2 linked regions of the Xenopus tropicalis genome follow. The protein of the gene in region 1 interacts with the protein of each later gene in a pairwise test. Links are inferred from orthologs where the notes say so. Each region holds a gene or a part of one and is shown in the gene's direction. Other genes may lie near its edges. The genes, in order: mypn and ankrd1.

What was found.
Region 2: the proteins of mypn (region 1) and ankrd1 interact in a two-hybrid assay, tested with the Homo sapiens proteins (2 studies listed by BioGRID). The link is inferred for Xenopus tropicalis from reciprocal best matches to the Homo sapiens genes MYPN and ANKRD1.

What each region holds. Positions count from the first base shown.
Region 1 is NC_030683.2:38,507,317-38,511,145, reverse strand, and holds part of mypn (myopalladin), read left to right. Parts: intron 1-2,307; coding exon 2,308-3,243; intron 3,244-3,829. UniProt on the Homo sapiens protein: Component of the sarcomere that tethers together nebulin (skeletal muscle) and nebulette (cardiac muscle) to alpha-actinin, at the Z lines.
Region 2 is NC_030683.2:36,842,625-36,846,907, reverse strand, and holds the start of ankrd1 (ankyrin repeat domain-containing protein 1), read left to right. Parts: upstream 1-1,205; 5' UTR 1,206-1,221; coding exon 1,222-1,245; intron 1,246-2,323; coding exon 2,324-2,503; intron 2,504-3,458; coding exon 3,459-3,596; intron 3,597-3,681; coding exon 3,682-3,789; intron 3,790-4,081; coding exon 4,082-4,180; intron 4,181-4,283. UniProt on the Homo sapiens protein: May play an important role in endothelial cell activation. May act as a nuclear transcription factor that negatively regulates the expression of cardiac genes. Induction seems to be correlated with apoptotic cell death in hepatoma cells.

The sequences.
Region 1 (3,829 bases):
AACATATATGATACAAAGCATTACAATTATTCTCACTGTATACAAATATGTAATGCACTTTTCCTTAAAAGTATGGGTTCATACCCACAAAAGTGTAAGGCATGTTGTGTTCCATATATAAAAAATATATTAACGGCATTATTATTATGGTGTATATAAGTAAAATCTGTAAATGGTGCAGCCATCAAATTGGTCATCCACAGCCAGCTTTAAAAATGTCCATAAATAAAACAGTCAGTTAAAATCAGATTCCAAAGTGATTCTGTAAGGTAGTGTTTTTGTACATTTTTGTGCAGACTCCTCTGTCTACAAGGACCCATGAATGAACAAAGAAAGAAGAGGGGTGTGCTCCCATAGCATAAAATGAATGGTACAAATTTCTTCAATAAAAGTAATACAAATGCTTTAGAAATACATTTAGCTTGTGGCAATATTAGACCAACACATTTAGTCATTATTTGACTTCCTCAGGGGCATATTATATTTATATATATATATATATATATATAGGGAATAAAGGGAAAAAAGGGAACTGCACGTACAGGTCTTAGGACGATAAAGGTGATTTTTATTGGCAAAGGTGAACTAATGTTTCGGCTGTAGCACCAGCCTTTCTCAAGGTCATCAAACAATGACAATTTCCCACCATGCACAGTATTTATGGTTTTCTTTCACTTGTTGGTGTAAGCTTGAGAAAGGCTGGTGCTACAGCCGAAACGTTAATTCACTTTTGGCAATAAAAATCACCTTTATCATCCTAAGACCTGTGTGTGCGGCTTCCCATTTTTTCCCTGTGTACTTGTTTGAACTCTGCACCCAGGCATTTTATTTTCTTTTTCGTGAGTGCCAGATGTTCCTGTTTGATGTGTATATATATATATATATATATATATATATACAAGGAAGAGTGGAGCACACCCTATAAAAGTTCAAATGCCCTGGGTGCTGGCTAAAATGAGACAATATATGAACAGAGAGCCGCACACACAAGGACTTAACGATAAAGTGAAAAAATTTTATTCAAAAAAAAATCCAACGTTTCGAGTACTAACTGTACTCTTCCTCAGGGACAAACCACTTTTCAGTCCTAGTAAAAGGACTGAAACGATGGACACAATAAATCTCACCACTTGCATTTAAGAAATCTTTATTTTCTTTGCCTTTTTGTGGAAATCCTACGAGTGCCGTCATTCTTGACCTGTTATATATATATATATATATATATAGTATAAAAAAGACCAGCAACTCCGGGATTTCTTGTGAAAAATCAAAACATGTATTCAAAGTAGCATAAACAGCTTTTTCCCCGAGAAAGATGAATCACAACAAAATGCATACTATTAAAGATTGGACATGCATTACTTTTATTGAATACATTTGTGACATTGATTTTATGCTATGGGAGTGTGCCATCTTCTTTCTTTGTTTATGTTGTGTTCAATGGTCTGGTTTAAGTATCTTGAAAATTAATTAAATGCAAGATTTTATGGAACACTGTGTATTTAGGGCTGCCTTGCAGTGCTGCGGTCCTTGGTTTAATCCAACCACTGCACGGAGCTTGGCATTTGTCCTTGTGCTTGCATGGGTTTCTTTTGAGTACTCTGTTTTCCTCCCACACTCCAAAAACATACAGGAAGGTTACCTGGCTTCTAATTAAGTGTATGTAAAGATCCTTAGATTTAGGGTTGCCACCTTTACCGGTGACAAAACCTGGACAAAGGAGGCAGCTGATGAAAGGGGGACAGACAACTAACATTTGAAATCAGGAGCAAGGCTGTGATGTCATTGGGCATAATTAAGATGATATTTATCCAGCTTTAACAAGTCTAAAACCCAAGATTCTGTGGGATAAGCTGTAAATGTATCCACTTTATGCTACAGTCAAACATAACCTCTGAAATCCACATAGGTAGTCTTGAACAACACAGAATGTGCAGTACATCATAGCTAATTTTACTACCTTTCTTCTCTTAGAATTTCACAGTTTATTAGGCTTTTGTCAGACACTGGCACATTCTTTATTCCTATTAAAATGAATGGTGCACTACGAGAGCCAGACAGAAACTGTGCTACACTTAGTCAGTATTGTGGCTTTGGCCTAAATAGAATCTCTGTCAGATAAATACTTAAATGTCTTGTTCATATTTTACAACAAAAATAACAACAAAGTGAAGAATATTTCATGCCTTTTGTTAGCTTGTACAAGAAAAATATCATTTAGAGGAACATGGTGAAACCCTGGTGTGTAACATAAAGAGCTAGCAGGTATATTCACATTACTGAGCTTATCTGTCTTTTCGTCAACAGCATGCAAGACGAGAATATAGAAGCTTCTTCGTCTATTTCTCAGATTCTGAGAGAGAACTATAGTGCTGAAACAAGAATACACCAAGAGAGCAGTCTATCAATCTCTTCATCTCATTCTTATCGTCATAGTGTCTGCTCCAGTAGAGTAGACGACTTATGCGAAGCTGATGACCTCACTGATCTTTCTGCTTTTCTGAGCCAGGAAGAATTAGACCAAAGTGTACATTTGGCAAGACAAGCCATTGACCAAGATGGGAACCAGAGAGAGGTACAGATTGATATTAAATGTCCGCCGAGAGAACTAAAAAGACAGTCTAGGCCTGTTGTAAGACCACCAGTAACCAGACAGAGCATACCAACAGTCAATGACAGAGAACAAGAGTTAAATTTTTATCAGGGACATGTCATAAAAGGGTTGAAAAACTCTACAGAGGAAACGAAAGATTTGAAAAAGCCACAGAGAACCACTCCATATGGAACTGAAACTGAGTCAAAAAAGGAATTTTTGAATAAAGCTGCAGATTTTATTGAGGAGCTATCGTCACTTTTCAAAGCCAATAGTTCCAAGCGAATTAGGCCAAAGACATTAAAAAATCGGAGGAGCAAACGTGACTTAAAAAGTGGGACACTTGAGCAGGACATCTCTAATTACACTTGCCAGTTAGAAAATCGAGAGAGGCCTCACTACACGCCAGAAAAGACAGAAATAAACACTACTATCTCTGAGGAAGCTAATAGTTTGGAAGCAGTGGATCCAGAATGTGAAAAGGAGTCTTTGCAAGTTGAAAACGATACCCAGTCTTCCTCTTTTTATTTTGAAGAGCCAGTTGGGCGACCTCCAAATTTTATTCAGAAATTAAAAAGTAGGGAAGTTACTGAGGGGAGCAAAGTGCAGTTGGACTGTATTGTGGTTGGATTTCCACCACCTGAAGTAAGGTACATATTCTTATTTTATATTTCCATTTCATATTATTGGGGGCAGTTGTATTTAGTCACCTGTTTTTAAAAAAAGTTGAACAATTGGATGTGCAGACGACTGACAACATTGATTACATCAATATTAAAAAATGATCTTTTGTATATAAATGATAACAATGGTTTAATGGACCTTCATTTGAGCTCTGGCAAGAAGGCGGGCCACACTTAATTATACATGCAAGAGGATGCTACAATCAGAATTTGCAGGCATCTACTAAAGGGACTCTATTATGCAATTTTGACTGTTATCCAAATTTACTTTATTACACTATAACCAGTTGGACATAGTACTGTCTATGTGATTACAAATTCCAGTCCAGGGTCAGTAATAATTTATGTAAGAAAATCCTCCAATGAGATCTCTTTAATCTTGACTTTCAGTTCTGGTTTCATATGATCGTTGTGCAAGACAATAATGCCTTATCTGCTGGGGCCTTTAACCTTGCCACGTTGTATGTTGCCCAGAAATGCAAATTCTACAGTGCTGGCAATCAGCAACATAGAATGTACAGTATAACTTATAATAGGCTAGCAGTGAAATGTG
Region 2 (4,283 bases), about 1.7 Mb from region 1:
AATTACTGAAAAACATGTGCCCCCAAACCAGGTAGTTATTTTTGAATTCCTGACTTGGAGGCAAGTTTTGGTTGAATAAAAACAAGATTTCCTACCAAATAAAGCCCCCTGTAAGCTGATAGGGTGCATAGAGGCTACCTAATAGCCAATCTTAGCCCTTATTTGGCACCTCCATGAACTTTTATGGTGCTTGTGTTGCTCTCCAAGGTTTTTTACATTTGACTGTGGCTCACAAGTAAGAAAGGTTGGGGATCCCTGTTCTAGCAATACTCCCTGCATAGAGGCTCCCTAATAGCCAATGTTCATAGAGGCTCCCTAATAGCCAATGTTCATAGAGGCTCCCTAATAGCCAATCTTAGCCCTTATTTGGCACCTCCATGAACTTTTATGATACTTGTGTTGCTCTTCAATTCTTTTTATATTTGACTGTGGCTCACGAGTAAGAAAGGTTGGGGACCCCTGTTCTATTTAAAATAGATATATATTTACAAATTAATTGCAAACTTGTTTTGTTCATAAAATGTTAATGTTAACACTAGAATTTCCCCTTTTAAATGTTAAATGTATTGAAGATGAACTTAGCATTTTTTATTCAGGGTATCTGGTTGTTTGCTACATTGTAGCGTACAGCTGCTTAGTCAATTATTGCTTGAATCAGACGAGCGACAAACCCAATGATATTATTCTGACCATGAAAAGAAATAAATACAATTCCCAGACAGAAGTGACCGTAACCCTTCCTAACAGAGATGGCCACAGCTCCTGCCTCCCTTCCAGCATCATTTAGTCATTTCAATGTCAGCAGATAAATACGGTGCATGCCCAACACACAGCTGTCATACTGGTTCAGATAGAATGACTAGCATTGCTGAGCTCTTCAGTCATTGCCAATGGAATGGCTAGCTCATGTTTCATACCAATTGGGATATGCAATGTGGTTAGCCTATGGGATATTTTTTATCATAAGGCCCATGCTGCCCTCCCCTTCTAGCTCCCCACATGACACAAGATCTGGCTAGTTAACATGTCTGGAATGACAACGCACCTATCTCTGTCTGTGAGCTAGGTCCGTAGCTGTTGCTGTCCCAGGTTGGAATATTACCTCATTCTCCTTTCTCCGCACACACTATAAAAGCTAACCTGGAGGGGGGTTGTGAGAGCAACAACTTGTCTACCTAAGGTTAACATCAGAAAGGATACTTCAACTTCTCACTGGCAAAAATGTTGCTGAAAATGGAAGAAATGGTAGGTTATAGATTTTTTTTTCTTTAATTAAGACATTCTGGCAGTTTAAAGAACAAATATTAGTCAATAGGTTACATAACAAGGTTAATATAACCATGTGTGTGCCTTTTACTAACCATATAGTAATGGGACTTATTATATAATAAGTTTATCACCATTTAATTCTATTGTATAGAGCTACAAGTATCTAATTAAAAAAATATCTGTACTGGTACATTCCCTATTTCAATTAACATTAACTTTTTTTTGGAACATTTTTAAGAAAACATTAGGTAGATGTTTAATTTCAAAGGTAATTTGTTACTTGTGACAGAAAGTTTTCGATATGTTCTCACCCTTCCAGTAATGCAAGTTATCAAAATTATTTCCACTTGGAATCCAATCTCTTTGGGAACAAATGGCAGCCTCTGTTACTCCTGCTAGCTGATGCAACATGAACATCTGTCGCACAGCTCAGCTTCAGAAGCTCACTGCTTTATTACATTATTATTTCACGTCTTTGAAATTTTTATTTCCAGGAACATGTTAATATTTTAATTAGTGATGTAGATGAATCAGCATTCATTGTAAGCAATGATTTCATTCTCTGGAATAATCATAAATGGTTGTGACAGCTGTCGTAGGATAGTCCCACATTTATAGGAATCCATTTTTCATGCAATACTTTCATGTAAATGGATATTACTCTATAGTTTCTTGGTTTAAAAATCACTGGTCAGGGCTTTTGTAGGGGTTTGTCTTAAGTATAAGATGGAGTGTGTGAATTGTAGGCATTTTAAGCTGGAAGTCATAGCAGATATCTGAGGGACACGATCTTTAGCTTCACTGAAGGTTCATGGAAGCCTATTTCGGGGGAACTTGATTCTTTATGGACAGTACCCATGACTATATATTATTGATTCATGTACAATGAGTGATGACAGGAGCAACTGTTAATCTACACATTCAAGCACAAAGACTGAATGCCATCTCGTTGTGGGCAACTCTACCAATATATTGCTTTAACTGTTTTTAATGATCATACTTTGCTAATGTATTGGAACTTTCAAGTCACTGATACCCCTTTTTTTTTAAACAGGTACCTGAAAAAAAGAATGAAATGAAGAAGACTAGTAATTTTGTAGCTGGTGTTTCAAAGAATGGAGAATATGAAACAGCTGTAGCTCTAGAGAAACAGGAGGATCTGAAGACCACATCGAAATCCCTTATTGAGCTGGAAGAAGAGAAACAAATAAAGGAAAAACAGCTAAAATCAGAGGTGTGTTTTGTTGGGAAACCACAGACAGCCTTTTTAGTGGTATCATTGAATTGCATTTCGGTAAATTATATCTCAATCAATAAGCTATACATTCTTGAAAATGTGGTATTGAGATAGACAGCAGGTTACATTGCTCAATAAAACACTCCCATTCAACATAAGTTCTCTTAATGCAAGGGCACAGTTATTAATACACAGTTAATAATGCAGAAACCTTTAATTACAGCCCTCTGCAACACGGGTTTTATTTGCTTCCTGAATCACTATTTCAGTGGTGATGGAGATTATACAAACCATTGGCAGATATGGTGTTACACTGCCAAAACATTTCCCTTTAAAACAGGTTAAGACATAACCCATTGAACTAATCACAATGGGAAACTCAGACTGTCTACCCCCAAAACATATACAACCTTGGAGATAATTCTAGACTTTGAACTGATTAGGAATTTATTTTTTAGCACAAAAGCCCTGATTATGTCCTTGCTCTAAAAGTAACTTTTCTAAAAACTTGAGAAGCGACCCTTGTTAAATTTTAATTGTCCCTACTAGTATTTGGTGAATTCTTCCATCCAGTCTGATATTGTCTAAACCAGGGATCCCCAACCTTTCTTACTCATGAGCCACAGCCAAATGTAAAAAGACTTGGAGAGCAACACAAGCACCATAAAAGTTCATGGAGGTGTCAAATAAGGGCTAAGATTGGCTATTAGGTAGCCTCTATGCACCCTATCAGCTTACAGGGGGCTTTATTTGGTAGTAAATCTTGTTTTTATTCAACCAAAACTTGCCCCCAAGTCAGGAATTCAAAAATAACTCCCTGGTTTGGGGGCACTGAGAGCAACATCCAAGGGGTTGGTGAGCAACATGTTGCTTCTGAGCTACTGGTTGGGGATCACTGGTTTAAACATATAAGATACTTCCAATATTAAATATAATATTTCTTTGTCTCAAGCTCCTTAAGAAAAAACTAGAGGAACGGCCAAAGTTGGATAATTTGGAAGATCTACAAACAATTATTAATCTGAAAAAAAGAAAACGAGTCAAAAAAGTGCATGTTCCTGTTGTCAAGGAACCAGAGCCAGAAGAAATTGTAAGTCTGTTAAGGAACTGTTTAATACTAAAAGCTATGGAGGAGAGCAGGCACATCTAATACAAAAATGTTTTGCTTTACTCAGATTGAAAATGTGGATCAGACAACATTCTTCAAAGCAGCATTGGATAATAAAATGCCAGTCATTGAAAAATACTTAGCAGATGGAGGAGACCCAAACACATGTGATGAGGTAGCCCTTATTTCTGCTTCATACAACTGAAAATGATGTTGTTGTTGACTTTAATAACTACTTGTAATGAGGTAACATGGGATCCATTGTTTCCTGTGGGTGTGTCAGCTCCACATTTGTTTTAGTTCGTGTAGCCTGCCCCAAAGAAAACTATTCTATCTATTTTCAACCTCCTACAATAAGTCAGTTGAAGTGTAATCATAAATGAGCCTTCTTTACATGTTGCCTAAGGTTTGAAGCAGCTGTTCAATACTGAAACATCCATTATAATATCGTTGCATTTCTCTTTCAGTATAAGCGCACAGCTCTGCACCGAGCCTGCTCAGAAGGACATACTGACATGGTGGAGAAATTAATTGAAGCTGGTGCGAATATTGAATTTAAAGATATGGTATGTTGGAATTTCCTGTTATTAAATTACAACTTCAGGAATAAATGTAACTGTAAGATAGGGTTGTAACATTCAGTAAAGCCTTTGGTATCTTGGCAAACAA